3 linked regions of the Mytilus edulis genome follow. The protein of the gene in region 1 purifies or fractionates together with the protein of each later gene. This does not show direct contact. Links are inferred from orthologs where the notes say so. Each region holds a gene or a part of one and is shown in the gene's direction. Other genes may lie near its edges.

Region 1 (7,897 bases):
ACAAATCTGATGGAACAAGATTTAAGTTATTTCTGCATCAGACTAGATCATCAGACTAGATCATGACTTATTGACTGACAAAAAAGTGTTATTGGACCAAAGTTGAATTACATACACAAAAAAAAAAAAAAAAAAAATCTGATAACTTTTTCAGTATTAATACAAAAAAGAGACATCCAAAAAAATGTAAGTAAAAAAAATAATTCTATAACATCATGAACATGGGATCTACTCTTTAAATATAAGTAAAATGAAAGAATTTTGAAGGTTTTTTTATAGAAAATAATTATATCCATTAATACAAAATCACCACGATCACCAGTTAATTTCACAACACAAACTTGTGCATTATTGATACATTAAGCTGATGTTTGAAAATTTTGTAGGCAATTGTACATTTATATTGCACCTCTATTGGGTTACTGAGGATTCATAAACTTGTATCTACAAAATTAAAAGTTCAACAATTTATGCAAATTTTCTTTTGGCTTGTAATGCAGAATTTGGCAAAACCACAAAATGAAATATAGATCTAAAAAATACAATCTTTCCATGAAAATAAAGGTATCCACAGTACATTAGAAATGTGCAGTATGTATCAACAATTTCTAAACAGAACTCCAATGTCGCTGCAAAAAATATGATTATACTTGTCACCAACAATAATTATAGGTAATACACTGCAAAGTTATGGATCTTCTGTATTTATATTTCTCTGGTTGCCTAACCATTTTTCTTATAAATTGAAATTTAAAGTCCGAAAATATATGTTACATGTACATGTATACATAAAGGAAATATTTTCAAAAAGTACAAATTTACAGCTTGTAAAAAACTTTCCTTGCTTTACATAGAGATTAATACATGGCCTTTTCCATATCAGCCTGGGTATCATCCCGAGACCCCCATATCAGCCCGAGACGGAGTCAAGGTGCTGATATGGGTCGAGGGATGATACCCAGGCTGATATGGAAAAGGCCATGTATTAATCGCTTTATCATATACTTCCGACAATAGTTTTATGTATAAGGCAAATAAACTAAAATGCAATAACTAAAACAGTCAAACACTTTATAAAGAAAATTAAAATTATGAATCAAAATATACTATAGTTGTCCAACAACAGCATCATTAACTCCTTATATATTTATGGTAACATTTCCTATAGAGGCATTTTGAAACATTGAAAATTTGGAAGAGTTTTACGATCATTACTACTCCATGTTTGTTGTTCTATAAAATGATTCATAATTGTCAATGGCATTTGTTAGCAAGTATTAAACTACCCACACAAAAGTTCCCGTAAATTTTGACGTCGTCATAAAAAACATCTGACGTCACAATGGAAAAGTAAACAACCGATACCGGAAACACTGGAAGTAACTTGCAGGAGAGGCTCTATTATGGGTTTTGTGCACGAGATGCACCTGATATGGGCTATCAGCCCGGGTGGGAAATTATGGCTTGTGTACTTCCGCTCATTACACATATGCAAATGCTATCATATCAATGCTAAGTAAAAATGTACATGATAAATAATTATTACAATTGACACATATGGTAACCACACTTGATAAACATATATATGTCCCTGTCTCCTTGCTTAGCATGTACAAGCAGTTAAATATAAGCAATGAATCTAGTCATTTCATACCATAACCATTTTGTACCATTAACAATGATATTTTGCAATTAATAAAGCCATTTCATACCAGATGGGCCAACTGTTACGTATACCATTTGTATCAGATATACATATAAATGTAAATATATACATGTATAATACTTACCAATTTTCTTGTACATTTTGTAAGATCTAGATATTTTGAAAAAAACACAGCCAGTTTGGTGATTTTAACAGATTTAAATTAAATACTTTAAGGTAATTAATGTTTAAGTACGTAAATTGCTGAATACCTTGATCTCACAGAATTTTATGAAATTTTGAAACAAAAAGAGCACATAAACATAGAAAAATAATGCCTTGATACTTTATGATATATATGTAAAGCAAATTTAATCATTGTTAATCAGTCAAGGATGTAACTTAAACAAGTTATCAGAGAAAAATAACACGCATGTGTTATAACAGACACTATCATGAGTTGTCTACTCTTTTTTTCCTAAATCTGTAGTAACATATGTTTGTTATCAGTTAAATATATCATAAATATTTTATCTTTTGCAGGCTCTTGGGAATTCTTGAAACTTTGCGCAGTTGATAACTAATTTTCTAATTCCATTAATACAATTTTGACCAACCATAGTAAATCAATGAGACAAGGCCTTTTAGGGAAAATTAAGCTGTAATATGTTACAAGGCTTAGTTATTACAGGCATGTAACTTATCATATGAGAGTAAATGAGACACTTGGGAATTACTTGGAATCTTGGGCAGTGCCTCATTACAAGTTCTGATCATCATTTCTTACAATGAATTGAAATACATTGTGATATATTTCTGAGCAAAGGCTTTAAAGAGATGTAGAGAAGCTGTAATAACACCCTTTGGTTATTGCAGGAATATATTTTCTGTAATAACATAGGTGTGCTGACTATGCATGACTGGAAAACTATGAACTGCTATATCTTTGCAAAGTTTAGTATACATAAAGAAAATTATAATATCAATAGAACTTGTGAAAAATTTAACAAAATAAAGTTTGTATATAACTGTTATTAACATGTATAATGTCCCTTTGAAACATGTAACATACAAATGTTATTATGGTATTTTGATATTTAAGACCACAAAAACGACATGTTTGTTATTTTTCTCTAATAACTTATTTTAGTTACACCCTTGACTGTTAATATTTATTAAAAAAATCAGAGTAAAAATGTAAAAAAAAATGTAAAGAATACACTTTCACATTAACAGTGTCAAAAAAGTAAAAATGTATGTTCATTATTATACGTAGGAACAATTTAAAAATTTTATTTTATCATGTTTATACCTCCCTTTTAAAACTAAAATAAACATAACTCTAACATTCTAACAACTTTACAGACTAAATGGACTAGCTGAATTGCCAGTATTGCTATACATAGCACTTGCAGCATTGAGCAGATCCAGCTTCATACACAATGGGTATTTATGGTTATAAATATATAATAATTTAACAAAATAGTTAATTCTTCTTCTTCTTCCAAGTAACAGTAAGGAACCGAATTCATATTGAATCAGAATCAATGTGGATTAATATGGATTGAAATTGAGGTACTTACCTTCAAAAATTCTTGCCCAAATTAACTTAACGGTTATTTTTGGTGCATGACGATAAAATGTACACTTTCTTTCAGACGATAAAAAAAAATAGACTTATTTTGAACGAATCTCATTAATTTTCTTCCATATTTGTTCCTATAATTATCTGAGACCTCTTATAATTCACGATAATGATATTTAGACAAATCAAGGTAAAGTTTTAATCGGTTTGATGCAAAAGATAGTAAAAAATAAACCATTTGAATCCTGACGGTAAAGCGCTCAGGGCATTATCGTCTATCCTCAAGTTCATTAGCCCCATAGGACGCAATTACGACTGGACACAATTACGAACGATTTCCAATGTTTGCCCTCTGAGATCATATTCCTTTATATTTAACAATAAATGTTTTTATAAATAAAAATCCTATTAAAATTCCCTTGTTTTCATGATAATACAATTTATGTGCACTTGGTGAAATGTTGATTACGATGACAAAATCATTCTGAAAATATTATAAGAACGGCAATCTGGCCTGAAAGTTTTATAAAAAAAACCATAAAGGTAAGTGCATATTGCCTTCTTTTGTTAATATATAGAAAGAAAAAGATCTCCTGATTCTGTTCATGTGCATGATGCCTTTTATCTTGCCCAAATAACCCCACAATTGACTTTTTTAGACGCTTTTGACCCTATTTATGGTCAAAAGAAAATATGTTAATTTTATTGAAAAGTCCAGAAAACTCCGAAAAAAATGTTGACCTATATAAAAAAAAATCATAGATGAATAATAAATACACCACCGAAATGGATAAACTTGAATTTAGTGCTCCTTTAAAGGAGAAACTTATACAAAAAAAAAAAAAAATCAGAAATCTTTCCTTTACACATGACCGACATTTCGTCTGCAACCACTGCTGAAGTAATTGAAGTAAAAAACAAACTTGTGCATCTTATTTTCCTATGAAAATGTGTTTGAGATAAAGGTTAATGTATGCTTTATCAATCTAGACTATTGTCATTGATTTCTTCTGCAAGATATATCAATATAGTGCTGTTCGGAATTGCGTCCATATGTGGCTCTCTTGACACGTAAAACGAGGTCACGCAAATCTTACTAAAGTATCCTAACGTGAATAAAAATTTATGTGGGATATGATGCAAAATGGAAAGCCTTCATACATCTTAAATTCTATGGTATAAAAAATTATAAAAAAGAAAAGTAGTCTACATAAAAAAATATTAATCATAGTTCAAAAATCGTCCGGTGAGGCTAATGAATTTAAAACCGTTAATTATAGACTTCTACAACTGAGTACAACATTACTATTTAAACAAAATTCACATGCTTTTAATGTAAATATTTGTAAAAGATGATGCTGATTTTTTATGTACTTTTAAATGGTAACTAATGTAAACAAAGTCAAAAAGTGCCTGACTATTTTTCTAAGTCAGCATGTGTAAAAAATAATCATATCACATGCAACCATTTCACATTATAAAAGATAGTGAAACTTTGATAAACTTATACTTTTTGCGTTCTGTGTCTTTCAATAAAACAAGTGTCAGCTAGCGTTTTGTCTTTTATTCAAGGGCAGTAATTCTATTTATATCGGGAATTTCGAGGTTGTTCGTCTAAATCAAGGTAGAGTACAAAACTATCCAAAAGGCAAAATAGATTATCGCCCCTTAATCACAGGAGGCGCTTATAAATTTTAGATTCAGCTCGTTTCCGATATATTTTTGTGTTGTTTCAGACGAAAGACAAAGATTTAACACCCCGTTATACACACAGAAGATCAGAGTAATGTCTTAAAATGAACTACACTGTTCTAAATTCAATTTGTTTTCCAAAATATTTACTGAATTATAGACTTGTATGCTCTTGCCAACAAATATGGCGCATTCTTTTTTGTTGACACCGTTTCTCAGACAAGTCATCTACAAATATAGACACATGTGTCATTTTATGTGAAAAGAGAATTAATTTCATTACTTCAAAAAACAATCGAACAAGATATTGATGATTTCAAAATTAAAATAGTCCCAAAAATGATATTCAATGTAGAATAAAATATATTGACTTTGCTGTCTTTAGTGTCAAAACACCAAATAAAAGTTTCCCCCTCTCAGTATCACATTACTGAGGGGGGATAGGATCTTTATGGGCACTGCAGGATCAGGTGTTTTTAAGCTCAGGATGTTGGGATTGAACCTTTCATGATATGGGAATTCTTTTTTTGATTTCGGGATGTCAGGATTTAAATTGATTAAATTCCCGACCTCAGGATTTCATGTTTTCAAACCCAGGATTCCGGGATCAGGACCTCTCCTGTCCGGCTGAATAAGTAATTTTTCTCTAAAGACTTGTAAAAAACGACAGAGAAAGGCAATTAATCAAAAGCTAGAAGATTTCAAACAGCTTTAGCTATCAAACTCTAATTATCTTTCATTGTTTTTACTTCTACCAAGCTATAATTTATCTACTTGTATTCTGTTTTAAACACATTTATAACATTTATTCCAATGAGCTTTGTAAATACAGACAGTATAAATCCATACCCGCCAACTGTCACTATTCGCGGGGGATTTCCCCCATGGAGGCTCCCAAGTGGAAATTTTGTAAGAGCAATTTTGTCCACTATTTTAAAGAAAACAATTTAACAATGGCTATGAGCTTGTTAAAGCAGGAAGAAACCAAAAAACCACATTAGAATATATTTGAAGGCCCCTTTGAAGGTTTTGTAGGACAATAAGAATCATCTTTCACGTAAAACCCCCATGGGCATTTTGAAAAGTTAGCAGGTATTTTAATCTTAAATACAATGTATATCACAATAAATCATCTAATTGCAACAACAAATTTAATTTAAATTGTGTCACTTTTACCATTCTTGAGTTATGCGTCTTTAGAATGTTATAGGCTAGTTATAAGCCTGGTACCTTTGATGATTAACATGACTATGACTAATTATTATCTTTTAGATGCCTAATATCAAGTTACAGAGTTCAGACGGAGAGATATTTGAAATTGAGGTTGAGATAGCCAGACAGTCTGTCACAATTAAAACTATGTTAGAAGGTAAACTGTTGAAGAAAAAATTGTTCCTCAGTCATATTTTGATCAGTGTACTGATAAAATCTACCATGTGTAGCGTTAAAGGCTAGCATGCATTATAAATTTGATTGAGAAAAAAAATTGTGAATAAAGCTGTAGAACAAGCACTACATAAGCAACTCTAAAAGCTCGACTTTTGTTAAAAATAGTATGAAACATGACTGAAAAAAAACTTAATTCCAGGTTACTATATATGTCATGTATGTAAAATTCATTACACAAATTTCACACATGACAAAATTTTATGTAATTGAAAAGAATTTATATAAATTGTTCCTCATCATCTAGAATGTGTCCATAATTAATTGGTATATTTATATAGCTATAGCTATGAATCATGAAATTGCAGCAACATCAGAGAACATTTTGCCAGGCCTGAGTTTTCATAAAAATATTGATACATTTATTATTAATAAAAAAATCGGTTTTAAATTGAAATTTGAAATGTTGATCAGATCAAGTTGTAATTTCTCATAATTTATTACTTTATAAACACATTTTTTATTGGAGGAAAATTTAATAAAATATAGGATTGGACTGATACATATTTATCTTCAACTGACATATTTCAAAAAATTATCCCTCAAGACACATATCTTTAAATGAAAAATGAGGGGGGGGGAGTGTATTAACACTGACATTACATTTTACAAAGATATGGTATTTTTATGCCCCTCCTATGACATGTATGATAGTAGAGGGGCATTATATTTTCTGGTCTGTGCGTCCGTCCGTCTGTTCATTCGTTCATCCATTTTTCTGTCTGCCTGTCCTGCTTCAGGGTTAAGGTTTTGGTTATGGTTTTGGATGAAACTGAAGTCCAATCAACTTGAAACTTAGTACACATGTTCTCTATGATATGATCTTTCTAATTGTAATGCCAAATTAGAGTTTATACCCCAATTTCACGGTCAACTGAACAAAGAAAATGATAGTTCGAGTGGGGCATCAATGTACTAAGGACACATTCTTGTCTATTTGTAGTCTAATGTGTATATTTATAGATCTGGGTGTTGATGAGGATGATGAAGAGCCTGTACCCTTGCCTAATGTAAATGCTGGTATCCTAAAAAAAGTTATTCAATGGTGCACATACCACAAAGACGACCCACCACCTCAGGAAGATGATGAAAACAAAGAAAAACGCACAGATGATATTTGTTCCTGGGACGCTGAATTTCTAAAAGTTGATCAAGGGACATTATTTGAATTAATATTGGTAATTTAACATTTGCATATTCAGCAGTTCTATAATCAGTCAGGGGACTTACTGAAATAAATGATTTTTAAATCACTTATTTGAGTAGCAAATTCAAAGTTTTGTCACAAATTGGGATTTTGTAGTTTTTTTCAAAATTTTAAACACATAGGTTTAAATAATATCTTTTAATTAGTAAAATTGAAAAAAATGAACTTTTTGCTTCTTTTAAGTAGCAAGGTTTATGCCTTTGATGCTATCATTTAGCTGAAAATTCTATTTTAGTTGAAATGCTATAATAATGGCTTTACATAATGAACTAATACTTTCTTAACAGATTTTTCCCAGCAGTGGGAGTATTTTTCCTGTAAA
Region 2 (6,964 bases), on another chromosome or scaffold:
TGACTTTTTTTAAAAAGGAGCCTAATTTGCAAGTGTCCTGTTTTATTTCAGGATTGAAGATATGTTTTAATTTATCTATATTATTTAAATTATTATATTTATTTTCATTTAAACATTCTTTTCTTAATTGTTCATTTTTTTTACATTTAAAAAAGAAATGAAACTCCTCATCTAGTACATCACAATATGTACACAGTCTTAAATCTCTGGAAATTTTCCTGTATCTACCAGTTTCTGTTAATAAACAGTGGTCACTTATTCGAGATTTACAAATTAGTTGTCTACTTTCGAAGTTTTGAGAAAGTAGGTACAACAATGTATGGTTCAAAGTTATAGCTTTTTTTATTTTTTTTTAAAAGTTGGAGTTTGTTAATTCTCTTGTAAATTTAATATTTTATCGTAATATAAATTTTCATAGTAGTTTTCTAAATTTTGTTTGTATATTATCCTATTTTTTTTCCCCTTATTTTGGTTAACAATTTCTAAATCATTTTGAATTCTGACATGATTTACATAGGAGTACCAAGAATAAATACCTGCATTATGTAAAGTTTTTGCCAAATTTAGTGTTTCTTTTAGTAAGGGGCTAGTTTCTTCCCTTAAAAGTCTATCATGAAAAAGAAGAGTTTGTCTTTTTATAAAGCAATCAATAGGGTAGCTGCCTAATTCAGATCGAGCAGCTACATTACAAGAGGGTTTTTACCCCTAAAATTAACTTATGAAATTTATCTAGTACTTTATCAGGTGGACTTTTGTCAATGAAATTAAGAATATCTTCTTTTTTGTTAGTTTTATCTCCTTTAATTAAAGCTTTATAAAAGGATGAATATATCAATCCATATACCATATTTCACTGTTATAAGTTTATATTGGTCTAATGAGTAAGTTAAATGGTTTGACAAATTTACAGGAGTCTGATGAATCGAATTACAATATGTTTTTATAGAAAACATTACTTTTATGATAGAATAAAAGGTATTCATTTATTTCAAATAAGGTCCCAAGAGAGGGGTATAATCTTTTATAGCAAACACTATGTTTACATGAATAATAAGGCAGCAACCATTTGATTTTCTGGAGGGGGCTATGGATTTTTTTTCTGGATTTTAGCTTACATTTAGTGGCAGCTGAGCTGGGGAAACAAACAATTTTTTTTTTTCAGTATCAAAAACAATTGTTTTTTTCTCTAAAAACTGGAAACAAACTTTTTTTTCAAAAAAAATATGTTTTAAACACATCTTTTGTGCACTTTTTGTTTTACATGTTTTGGTCTAAACGGGTCTCAATACAATGTGTTTAGAATCGTGTTTATGTTCCGGACCATATGAGTATTCGGACCATACGCGTATGGTCATGACCATATGCGTATACTCATATGGTCCGACCATACGCGTATGGTCCGACCGTACGCGTATGGTCGGACCATATGAGTATTATACTCGTTTGGTTATTAACGGGCCGGACCATATGAGTATTTGGACCATATAGGTATTTTTTCAAATATACAATAGAAATAATACAAAAAACTTTATCTTAAAAACAAATGTGTTTACAAAAAAATGTATTAATTTTACATGTCAAAAGCTACATAAACATTAAATATTGATGCCACAGTCAATTGATCTTAGTTTTCATCGCTAATTGTATTCGTGTATGCTTTTGTATACTTAAAATGAAATTCACACGGTACCATACATGTAGTTTTTCTGAGATTGCTTGTTTTGGCTGCGTGCAGTGATATCGACTCGGACAATTCCGATGTGTCTACGGTGTTTTTGAGAAACTCTAGATCTCCAATATCGTAAAATGAATTTCACAGATCAAATTAGATAAAGACAGTGGCTATTTCATGGTTCTTAAATGCTATTTTACCGTCTTATAATTAAGATTAAATAGAAGTATAGAAAAAAAGAATAGAAAAAATAAAGAAACATACACTTTTAATATTTTACTTTTAAAATGTCTTAAAAAATATCATGATCTTTAAAAAATATCATGATCCTTGCCGGTGATGTCACCTACTTTAAACAATAAAATTCCTTGTACAATATGTTCATTTAATTTTGGCATCTTTTTATAATTGTACTTACAAATAGTAAGAAATATTAACTGTGCGAAACTGTTTTTTTTTTTTAATATACATAAAATGACATTTTAGTGACGTAACAATCAGAAGGGTCACACCTAATGAAGAGTTTAAAAGTATACGTGTTGATTACCCCGACCATACGCGTACGGTCCGACCATACGCGTATGGTCGGACCATATGAGTATATACCCATATGGTCATGACCATACGCGTATGGTCCAGATACTCATATGGTCCGGAACATTTACATGTAGCTTATAATAAAAGTGTTTAATCTCTAAGCACGACTTTATAGTTCTAAAATTGACTTTTGTGAGACAAAATTGACTAAATTGAATTTTGTCTCACAAAAGTCAATTTTGTCTCACTAAGTCAATTTTGTCTCACAAAAGTCAATTTTGTCTCACAAAAGTCAATTTTGTCTCACAAAAATCAATTTTGTTTCACTAAGGTCAATTTTGTCTCACAAAATTGAATCTTGTCTCACACAATTGACTTTTGTGTTATAATTTCCATATCAGGTAACCGAAGTCAATTTTGTATGTTTATATTTGCATACCTTTTTGACAAAATTGACTTTTCAGTGTCACGACATTGTCACGACAAAAATGAATTTTGTCATCACAAAATTGAATTTTGTACAAAATCACATGAGTCCCATTCGGCGCCCCATATACACGACCTTTACCAGATCTTTAGATACGTATGTGACATGTATATCCGATAAGGTTACAGAATCGATAAAAGATTGGTACGCACTTTCATAAAAAAAAATGTTTACATCATCAAATACAATGAAATGTAATAGTACATGTTAAGTGAAAATAATTACGGCCAAGTGTTTTGCAATAAACATTTAGGTGCAATAATTGGAAGCGAGAATTTTTTAAATACCTCCTGAATAGATAACCTAAGCTGTATTTGGCAAAACTTTTAGGAATTTTGGTCCTCAATGCTCTTAAATTTCGTATTTATTTGGCCTTTTTAACCTATTTTGGATTCGAGCGTCACTGGTGGGTATTTTGTAGACGAAACGCTCGTCTGACGTAAATACAAATTTCAATCCTGGTATCTATATATGATGAGTTTATTTGTACAAAATTTTGTTGCTTCATTACGAAATTTTTAACGGGAACCAATACATATACAACATGACGATTGGAACTGAGAAAACTATCAATATAGTATATATATAGATATTGTTTTATTTAAGACGTTGAGAATATTTGCCTGTTTATAATAATACATATATATTGTTATTCCTTTTTTATGTGTATGACTCTGATCTGGCTGTGGTTAACATTTAAGAACTGAAATAGTTAAATTCACATTTATGGTTTATGTCAACATTATTGTAAGTTAACAACTCTAAAAATCATTGTAATAAATTACTTTGCTCTTCATGGGCCCTTTAATTGGAATAAAAATATCATATCTTATATAATAAAAACATAACTATACATTTCATATTTTCCGACAATGTACATTTATTGTTTTAATCCTGAAATTTACACTCATTACTTGAATTAAAAGTTGATCTTAGTCATTGACATCTAAATCATTGACCAAATTTTCAAAGAGGATTATTCTTTGTTTTTCATTCAATTTAATAAATTATTTTGACTTTTGAGCACTTGCTCTTTTAAAGATAAATAAAATAAATATAAGATTTATCCTTTTCAAATTGTGATTTGGGGAATTAAAATCATATAGTAATAAATTATTTTTATTGTATATAAATGTCTTATTTTGGTTAACTTGCTTCAGTTGATTGTTGTCTTGTTGAGTTAACCCCCACAGCTTCTTTTATTCATATAGTAATGCATCCTTCATGGCTAATATAACCATCATCCATTAGAATATTGATCCATCGAGTTTTAAACATCGATCCCACGCTTGCTTCAAGTGAAGCGATCCAAGTCGTCAATTATCATACTGGAACAAAGACTTCACGTTCGAAAATAAGGAATTCTTCTTACAGTGGAGTAGTGATTGGAAAATTGTTTATTCTGACTTTTATAGAACCTTATCAGTTTTCATCTATTTTCGTCCGTGAGTAATGATTTTATAATATCTGTTTCCTACAAAATGGACTTATAAATAACCATTGATCGGTTAATTTGTATTGGCAGAATCTATGAATATGGAATAATGACAGCAAATGTTAATTTCTTATTTATATTCAATCGGAAATTAAATTCAAAATGTCAACGATTCGAAAAGCATACATGGAATTATCGAATGGAATCCGAGGATTACGATTCAGCAAGGAACAACAACAGACGACAACGCATGTCTCAACAAATCATATTTCAATTTCAACGACACGTGAAACATCAATTAATATAAATAAACATGTTTCAAACGGAAGTTCTGCGATGAGTGCTCGTGTGATCCGTTCCCCAAAGCCACTCATAGCACGAAAAATTAGAAGTCTTTTTGGACGGCACCAACCTGATACAATCCACGAATTGTTCATGGATGACCGATTTTTATCGAAGTTTTTCTACTATTTTTCTGCTGAAGAACGAGGCATGCTGTCTCGAGTTTGTCACACTTGGAAAAATATACTTTACCATCCAAAGTACTGGGAAAATGTAATGCCTGTCATTATTCTACGTAATCTTGGTAAAACAGAGGAATTTAAAAGATTGTTTTATGAGAGTTTGCAAATTAGATGTTTTGATTCGATTTGCTTTTTTGGCGCAATAGACGAAGAAATTGCTGATTTTATTAACCATTGTGCGATATTCAAAAAGCAAATCAGGTTTATATGTTTACGAAATTCTAATATAACTGATGTCGGTCTTGAAATTTTGTGTAAGAAAATTCCATGTATTTATAAGTTAGAACTGAACGGATGTAACGAAATAACAGAAACGGGTATGTGGTCATGTCTTAACCCCAAAATCGTGTCCTTATCCATTAAAGATTGCATAAATGTTGCAGACGACACAATTGGGGCTATTGCTCAACTACTTCCGGCGCTTTACGAACTGAACATACAGGCTTATCATGTGACTGACGCTGCCTTAGCTTTTTTTAGTACCAAACAGAGCTATTCTCTCAGTGTTCTTAGACTTCAGTCTTGTTGGGAAGTTACAAACCATGGGGTTGTGAATATCGTACATTCTCTTCCAAATCTAGCTGTTCTTAGTTTATCAGGGTGTAGTAAGGTAACAGACGATGGAATAGAACTTATTACCGAAAATCTTCGGAAGTTAAGATGCTTAGACCTATCATGGTGTCCTCGGATTACAGATTCCTCACTCGAATATATTGCTTGTGATCTGAGTCAACTCGAACAACTGACCCTTGATAGGTAAGTTTATATATCAAACCTAACCTCGAATTAAAGCCGTCTAGCCCTCTTGATGTCCGCACAGTTACAACCATGGATGTCTTCGAATGCTTGACGTTTTGCTGTTGGTTTACTGTCTCGTTAACGTTTACATTGTAATTTACTGGAATTAGGTTGATGGTCGTTTTATTTTTACTGTTTCATCTTATGGAGGCTTTTGATTTGGACATATTGTAACTGGGTTTATAGAATAGAGAGAATAGTGAGAGAAAAAAAAGAGCAAACAGAATGTATAGAAAAAAGGCAACAATATTAAGTACACCAAGAGAGTAAAGGAGTTCTTTACAAAGAATAGAAGATAAAAAAAGAATAGGGAAAATATCCCTACACTGCAAAGAATAAAGATATGAAAACCCATTCCCAGCCCATTGGCGGACCCAAATGGGGGGGGGGGTCCGGGGGTTGGAACCCCCTTTTTTTACCGATCAATCCATTTGAATGGGACATATGTTTGGACCCCCCCCCTTCTGTCCCTTTTAAAATGGCTGGACCGCCCTGAAGTCCCTCTTACATGTGTTTCCTTTTTGGACAATCTTTGGTGGTCGCCTGTCTTAATTCGACTGGCTGAATTACTGGCATGAATAAAGTTTTAATGTAATATTTTTTCTGAAACAGACATTATGACTATTAAACTGTACATTTTATAAAAAAAAAAACACCATATATTTCAGTTATACAACTTTATATATATATCGACCTTAAAGTACCAATTTTCATACGGAAGTTGATTGGAAGTATAGAGTGGTTCAACACAAATATAGATGCTCAGGACCAATTAAGAGAGAATAAAACCGCTCGATAAAGCGGTGACTCACCAGGTCGCTATAGCTTCCCACGTTCTCAATTATTGATATTGCTATAGATTTTTGAATCTTGGATTTAAGACCATTTTACATCAACCAGCTTTATAGTTTCTTCACACCGTGCTATTTATTTTTAATGTCTGCTATTACAGCTGTGGAAACTTTGAACTGATACTAATCTGTTTCGTATATACTCTAGTTAAGTTTATATTTTGTAAATATCGAATTCCTCTCGTGTGATCAAACTATCGTTTTGTATTGATTTCATCAGTAATTACATCTACATGACCATATTAGAGATCTATATTACGTGCTGTTTTTAACCCGAAAGGGATTATGAATCCTGATGCCATTATGTGTCTGTTCTAAGTCGGGAGCCTGTTAGTGGATGTCGTTTCTTGCTGTATATTCTAATTGTTTGTCGTTTAGTGTGTTGTAGGTTAATCAGATAGTCAGTTTTCTCCTTTGAATTGTTTAACATTTGTTATTCCGGGACCTTTTATCCTTTAATATGTCGGGTATGGGCTTGTTCATTGTCGAAGGCCATACGGTGACTTATATTTTCTAAGTTCAACGTTAAACTTATATGGTCTCTGGGGGAGAGTTGTCTTTGGTAATCACACCATATTCATCTTTCCATATGAAGTACGCCTCCATAAAATGCCAGACGACTGAATACCGTCGACACAAGGTCAAAATAGGGTAGATTTT
Region 3 (7,863 bases), on another chromosome or scaffold:
CACAGGGGCGGATCCAGCCATTTTAAAAAGGGGGTTCCCAACCCAGGACAAAAGGGGGGGTTCCAACTATATGTCCACATTCAAATGCATTGATCGGCCAAAAAAGGGGGGTTTCAACCCCCGGACCCCCCCCCCCCCCCCACCCCCCACCCCCTGGATCCGCCAAAAATGCAAAAATTCGGAATAACTAAAAATGTCAAAGTTTCAGTACGTTTTCGATACAGAACAATTCTCAAAACCATTTTTAGTTGCATTTAATGTACAAATGCATATCAGTATATACAGTAAGAGATCAAAAGTCTTTTTCACAATTTGAAAATTCTGCTTTATACTTCACATAAAACACATTTTTATAAAAAAAAAAAAAAACTCCTACCATAGACATATATGTTTCTGTTTCTACTAAAGTTATTTTTTTTCTCGATTTGAATGATCCTCAGTTCTTTATTATCATTTTCGGAGACGTTTTGTTCTTCTCCATGAACTCACTGGCTTCAAATCGGGACGTTTGCACTTTTTTTAATGTACATTCGCGCTTCAATTCATAAGACATTTGCGATTTTACAATATTTCTTTATGGTTAAAAGTTAAACATTCTATAACACATTCGCGTTTAAAAATAATTTTATAGCGCATTGATATAGTTATATGTATACCTAAAAGTGAACATTTGACATTATGAAGACACCAAAGACACATAAAGTTATCACAGGCCAGTTTTCGCCTAATATCTGAAGCCCAAGAAATAAACAATTTTGCTTTTGTAATCTGTCCTGACTGGTATTTTCCCCTCATTTTTATTATATACAAGTACACACCCGTGATATCGCGGGTCCGTGGCTGAATTAAAGTATATAACTATGCCTAAGCCTTATTTTAGTAATTAGTATTGTCATCTGATAAAGTCATGTCGATTATAAGATAAAAAGTTTTCTCTGCTTTCAAATCTTTCTGTTTGAACCCGTCGACCTGGAACTTATCAGTTATTTATAATAATATTAATTATTTGGAAAACAAAAGGTCCTGGCTATCCAGGAATGGAGTATTTTTTAATCAACAGCATTGTCCTATATTAGTTATCTTAGAAAGTCTTGCTGATTGCTGAATAAAACTACAATAGGGAACAATTTGACAATGATTGAATTTAGTAGTGTCAGCCCTTTGATTATGACCCGTATATATAGTAAAATCCTAAATACACCGTTTGGTGGTGCGCCTGTCAAATGCGGAACGTACAGATAAGGTAATAGCTGACAGGTGAATATACTATTGGTATCGGTATCGGATTCGACCCGGAACTTGTTAATTATTGGCAATATTAATTATGTGGAAAACAAAAGGGTCTGGAGTGGTGTAATTTTTAATCTACACCATTGTCCTATATTAGTTATATATAGAGTTGAATTCTTTGATTTGTCGTTTTTACCCGATGACGGCTGACAAATTGGACCTCGTAATTTTAGTATTATAGATTCTAGTCTCTTTTTTTCATTTCTTGACTGACATGTCTGTTCGTCAATATATAACGAATGCTAATATTATAAGCCGACTGTTGTTCAACGGTAAAAATCCATCGTGACATAAACATTTTTTCCTGTACTTGTCTCTATATTTTTATACTCTAATGTTTGAGACTGTGTCTCCCTTGACATCATTTACGAGTATGGTCTTCGAAGGAATCGATTCTAGTCCGTCGGAAGGGGACGTTAAATGGCTGACCCATGTTAAGAGAGAGCCATATCTCAGCTTGCACGTAAAAGATACCCTTGTAGATTTCGAAAAAGAGTAGGCTAATGCCGCTACAAGACAACACTCGCACCCGCAAAGTGGAAAGGGATTGATATAAGTTGAAATAACTTGTTTTCCCAATTCCCTATAAACAAATATGTTTAAACTAAGACGGTGTCAGTGCGAATTTTACTACAATTGTATCAAAATTTAAAGGGCAGATGACCACAGTCTGTGGAGCGCAGATGTCATATCGTGTTACAGGTTAAAAAAAAGCGCAAACATCTTGTGCCCAACAAATTTACAACTTACCAATTAGTTCCTACAAAGAAAGATTTAAAAATGATTAAAATTGTCAACACAGATACGAATATTTTGTTTTAGGTTTCATGAAGCTAGAGATAAATCCTCACACAAAAACACTGAGTACTGTGAAACTGACAATAATCATTACGATGCTTGATTTTTATTACTGACCACATTTTTGATACGTTTGGAGGACGTGTTTTCTAACAGTTAGTCGGAATTTATGTGGGAACCAATTGACTGAGGTCATTTTCTTCTGATATGATCTATTATTTCATCTCACATTATAACGACGATCCTTCTCGCTGAATAATTCACACTTGATCCTTTCAAACTTGAAACAGACAAATCACATATACAAATAGGTCTAAGCCTGCCTTTGTGTGCGTGATTTTCTCACATAGTGTTGAAGATCTTTATAGGTGGCCTTGTGCTGTTTTCTGCTCTTTGGTAGGGTTGTTGTCTCTTTGACACATTCCCTATTTCCATTCTCAAGTTTATACTATATGATAAAAACTTATACCTAGATATTCACAATGAAGGTTCGCTGAGAGCTAAATTTAAGGCAAAGAAAATAATTTTAATTACTCCATTTTGAACTTTCTATGTTATGTAGCAAGCTACATTCCTGTAGGAATACATATCCTTAGCTTGCGTTCTACTTTATGATTTCTTCGATGGAGCATTATTGCTTACAAGGAATTCGAAGCTATTGTATCAAGGCTCCTAAATGTAAAAAGTAAGTAATTCTTTCAGTGATGATTTAATAACGGACACCATCATAATTTGATTTGCTGTATGGAATATATCTGTGATATAGATGACCACGGATATTCTTCACTTTTCGTGCCTAAAATCCCGACCCATTTTTCTTGATTGTGACATCAACAAATACAAGTTATCCATGATTTTACTAACTTAGTCTATGTGTTGGTTTTAAATGTTGTATTGTGTTTGATACTTTTATTATGTCAATGCTGTGTTCATTTCAATCTGTCATGTCGTATTCAATCAAATTCGTAGTTAAATAATCTATGTCAGTACGATAGGTTATGATGTGTTAGGGTTAGGGTTAAGAGAAATCCGCCTATCCTCTAATTAATACTGCGAAGCTAATGGGTAAAAAGTTAAGATAACAAGATAACAAGTGCCATGGCTATTTTTTAATCAAAAAAATTGTTTATTGAAAGAAAAAAAAATATTAACAGGGAAATTACCTTCTTCCTTTAAAATGATTTTTGTAAAAGTATTAATCTCTACACGTGCTTCATGTAAAACAATGCCGATTAAAATACATTTTAAGGAGAAGATACGGGGGAAAATTGTAATATGAAATATTGTTGATTCATCTACATCTCAAAACCAGCACCCCAGTACTATCTACTTTTGTTTGTAACTAGAGCAAAGCCAGCACATGTCTCCACTTGCAAACATGCAAATGGATTGTTGGTGCTGAATCAATCGGAACAACTCGGCCTTTCTGGTTGCACGAAGAAATAACCTCGTATGCATTAGGCGGAGGAATCATTGTCCGGAAAATTTTCCGATTCGATTCAAAATTATATTTTTTCGACTGGACTGGTACATTTTTTTTACCACTACTGATTTAACTTGCTCCTGTCCGGAAAATTTTCCGATCTGATTGAATTTTATATTTTTTCGACTGGAATGGTACAAATTTTTTACCATTACTTATTTACTTTGCTCCTTCTTTCGCGCCAAAATATTTGGCAGAGTTAAAGTTCTTGATTACTGTGATATGTAACCAAATTATAGCGCCACCTGGAGGATAGAACTTCTTTGTGTCGCGGATCACTACAATTCCGGCCAACAATTTAAGAAGAATTTCTCCGTAGTGCATACGAGGCTATTGTACTGCGTAGCGAGAATGGCCGAGTAGTTACGATTGGGTGCTGAATTTTACATCCCAATGAAGCTCAAATCAAATTTAACAGTGAAATTTTGAAGAAAAAAAGGTAAAATATTTTTTATTATAAATCAAAAATTACACAAAATACCGAACTCCAAGGAAATTTTAAGTCCCTTATAAAATGGCAAAAATCAAAAGCTTAAACACATCAAACGAAAACAACTGTCATATTCCTGTCTTGGCTTGTATGTATGTATGTATGTATGTACTGGTAAATGCCTCCGATATCCGAAGAACCCCTCGAAAACTGCGAGGGTACAGTGGCATCCATGTACACTCCCTAACGGGATTAATGGAGATGTGTCACTAACGTATGTTTATACGACAATTATTTTTACAAGGACAATCAATCCCCACCCAACACAAAGGGAGTGCTAGGACACCGGGCAGTCTGTTATTATGGTGGAGGAAGCCGAAGTACTCGGAGAGAACCACCGGGCCACTCGGTGGAAAACAGACAAACCAGAGAGATATCAGAAGATTGATCTCCAGGTCAAAGTAAGGGACAACTTTGACCAACCGAGGCCCCCAAAGTACCCATTCTAGTTTAAACTCCGGTCTGGGTACCAGAGATGTGTGTGAGAGGGTGAAAATTACCCTTCTGATGTGCTGATATTTTTAGCACCCCGAGTGAGAATCGAACTCGGGACCTTCAGCACTGTAGCCATCGGTCTTAACCACTAGACCACGCTTGTACATTTTTGTCTACATGTTATTTTTTTCCATTATTTTCTATTCTGATAATCCCACAAAGACCTTCATAATATTTGTATCATGCGGTCTTATAATTTACGGAAATAGTTGTCTGAATTTTTCTAAATTTTCATATGGTAATAGGGCAGACCTAAAAAGTCTTTTCGGATTGATCGAACTTTTATGAAGAATTAGAGAGCTTCCGAGACGAACGTAAACAAACGTTACAGTATCACATGTACAGCTGTACATTGAAGTATGTTATCTATTAGAGTTTGACCCGTTGAAAGTTTAACTATACATATGCACTGTTAACTTTATATTTCATACTCACATAGCATGGCATCAAATGACCTTGAAAAGTTCCGAACTGAATGGAAAAACGAACTTCAAGGGAGTAATGTCATTCCAGATAAAAGAGGACAAAGTTCAATAGCTGTTGCTCCTACATTAGCAATCGATATTGTCCTCCCAGAAAATATATCTAATACCTCGAATTCCAATCCAACAAATTGTTCTGAGTGCAGAGTTCACCCAGCTTTTAGGGAAAATAACAAGTGCCATACTTGTTTATTTGTCAATAAACAAAATAAAGAACATAAAACCAACACTCAGTTCTACCCATTCCAAATAGTTGATGGTCTTCTTAATTCAAAAGATAACATCAAACAAAGTTGTAGTCCGGAAAGAGAGTTATTATCAAATACTAAAGTGACAAGCACCTGTGAGAAGAAAAGAAAATATGATGCATTCAGAAAGGAAGACGTGAAAGACATCTTTTCCAATAAACAAGGTCGAAAGGAGGTTGATAAAGAGAGCTATTTAGACTTGTTTATTGCTGATTTGGTAAGATATTTTTTATAGAGTTAATGAATATACAACATTTGTCAGTGTTACATAATCTACATTTATATATATATATATTTCCAATACTATGAATAATGCTGATACACCAATAGAATTTGATTTCCATTGGAGGAAATGTTAACATTTTCCTATATATAAATCTTAGTTCTCACAACAACGTAGAATTGAAACCAAACATCAAAATTGATTGTCTTGCAAATTTCATCAAATAGCATTTTCATATTTTATATAAACATGCTTCTATGGTAAAGTGTCGGTTTTGATATGTATTTTGTCCTAACCGATTCCTCATTACTATTTTAGCGTATTTTGCCACAGCATTTGTTGGGCATCCAAGCTGACCTTGTTCCATTTTATGTATATAGTTTTGCACTTTTTTATACTTTGAGGACTGATCGAATCAGATGAGTGTGTGAGTTTAGTATGTTTTATTTTATTGCATTATATTATGTTTGGGGAAGGTTAACTTTCTGGTAATAAGACCCGTCACAGCCTGGCTGGGGAATTGGGTAGGCAAATGCTCACACTAATCTGTACAGATACAGGCTCCAAATGTCCTCCTTTTTACGCCATAACTCATGGTGGTGCTCCTAATTAAAGGAGACTCATACAGAGACAAGAAGAAGGTAATAGAAAAGAATCAACAGTTTTTTTTGTCTTCTAACATGTCTGAACTGATTACCAAATTGGAGTTGTAATAAAAATCAATTTGCTGTTGTTTTTAATTTATTAATTTCTATTTTAGGATGAAATAAATGAAATTCCATTTTTTGATCTGACAGTCCCAAGGGAGGTTGCAATAAAAATATTTGAACCTCTTGATCTCAAAGACTTGTGCAGATGTTCTCAGGTGAGTGCAATGAATGATATCATGTATATTTATATGTAGTTATTATATGGTTGGCACCTGGTGTAAAATTTGAAATTAGAAAAATTTTCATCCTGATACTGTGGATTCATTATAATTTGTTGGACATTGTTGTGGACAATTTTCGTGGATTTCGTGGCAACAGATGAAACACGAAATTAAATGTTCAACGAATACCAAATTTTATATCTCATTACTCAGTATGCTCATACTCGTAGCATCAACGAACTTGTTTACTGTTGCATCGCATTTACTTCATGATTTATCCTACCATTTTCCTAAAATCGGTCAAGAGCAATTAAGGGAAGGCAACTGTTTAAAAATAAAATGATTTTATTGACTCAAAACGATAATTTTCTCTGTCATCGCTTATGTTTTTTCGATTCTGAAGTCGATATTTAAACCAAATGTAAAGACTAATTTCCGGGAATAGTATTTTTTATCAAATTCACAGGAAATCATCAGCTTTTTAATATTTTACCTTTTAAAGTGTAAGAATATTAATGAAAATAGTTGCACTTGCTTTATTTAGCATAAAATCATTTTAAATTTACGATTTAGTGTCTAATCTGCGGAAGGGCATTTCAAGCAAGCATATTACATGGTAAACAAAGCACGTGTGTTAGTAGTGAAAAAATACTTTTTCAAATAAATCATAATTGACAATTGTCTAAGCTGAAAAGTAATTAAATAACGAAGACAGTTGGTATGGAATTTTAATTTCTTTATAATATTAGTTCAGAGCTTGTGATTAATAACCAGGTGTGAATTAAAAACACAGGTAAAGAGATTAGCAATCATTAGCCAATAGCTCCCCGAGGCATTAAATATAGTTATTAGGAGGGCCCTCAGGATTATAACACTCTACTGGAGTGGCAGGTTAATTATATAAAATCGATAACAAAACAAAAACATCTTCAAAATGGTGATTTTGAAACTCGATCTCCAAGAAATGACCGAAATTATTTCTGTTGAAAAATAGAATTTGACCTAAATCCCAATTACACGTTTAGGACAAAATACTTTCAGTTTAGGACAAGATTGGCAAATATGACTGTTTCTGGACCCTTGCTGTATATCATGTATACAATGTATAAACATGATAAACCTCTAATGATATTTTTTTTTGTTTCAGATACAAATATATACTTTTGTTAAAACCAGGATGTTGATACAAGGCTGATTTTGTTTTTGGTTTACTTCTGTGTTGATGTTTACTCTATATGTATATCTACTTTATTTATAAGACACATGACACACATTGATTATTTAATATTTTTTGTGTTGTCAATTTCCTTAATGACTTTAATAGTTTACTCATGGTTTGTTATTTTAGGTTTCAAAGAGTTGGAAAAGTTTAGCAGATGATGAGTTATTATGGAATAGAATTTGTCACAAGCTTGGTTATGAACAAGATACAGATGCTGTAGATAAATCCAAGTGGAAGACTGTAGTTAGACATCATATTGAA

What was found.
Region 2: the proteins of S-phase kinase-associated protein 1 (region 1) and F-box/LRR-repeat protein 16-like purify together in Homo sapiens (affinity purification with western blotting; 5 studies listed by BioGRID and IntAct, with this or other methods). This does not show direct contact. The link is inferred for Mytilus edulis from reciprocal best matches to the Homo sapiens genes SKP1 and FBXL16.
Region 3: the proteins of S-phase kinase-associated protein 1 (region 1) and F-box/WD repeat-containing protein 8-like purify together in Homo sapiens (affinity purification with western blotting; 14 studies listed by BioGRID and IntAct, with this or other methods). This does not show direct contact. The link is inferred for Mytilus edulis from reciprocal best matches to the Homo sapiens genes SKP1 and FBXW8.

Annotation. Positions count from the first base shown.
Region 1 is NC_092350.1:58,848,908-58,856,804, forward strand, and holds the start of S-phase kinase-associated protein 1, read left to right. Parts: upstream 1-4,880; 5' UTR 4,881-5,013; intron 5,014-6,194; coding exon 6,195-6,291; intron 6,292-7,331; coding exon 7,332-7,546; intron 7,547-7,897. Other genes in the region: S-phase kinase-associated protein 1-like, read right to left, coding at 1,791-1,806. UniProt on the Homo sapiens protein: Essential component of the SCF (SKP1-CUL1-F-box protein) ubiquitin ligase complex, which mediates the ubiquitination of proteins involved in cell cycle progression, signal transduction and transcription.
Region 2 is NC_092352.1:75,839,617-75,846,580, reverse strand, and holds the start of F-box/LRR-repeat protein 16-like, read left to right. Parts: upstream 1-3,961; 5' UTR 3,962-4,293; coding exon 4,294-5,411; intron 5,412-6,964. UniProt on the Homo sapiens protein: Substrate-recognition component of the SCF (SKP1-CUL1-F-box protein)-type E3 ubiquitin ligase complex.
Region 3 is NC_092349.1:74,090,887-74,098,749, reverse strand, and holds the start of F-box/WD repeat-containing protein 8-like, read left to right. Parts: upstream 1-4,860; 5' UTR 4,861-4,996; coding exon 4,997-5,503; intron 5,504-6,269; coding exon 6,270-6,374; intron 6,375-7,728; coding exon 7,729-7,863. UniProt on the Homo sapiens protein: Substrate-recognition component of the Cul7-RING(FBXW8) ubiquitin ligase complex, which mediates the ubiquitination and subsequent proteasomal degradation of target proteins.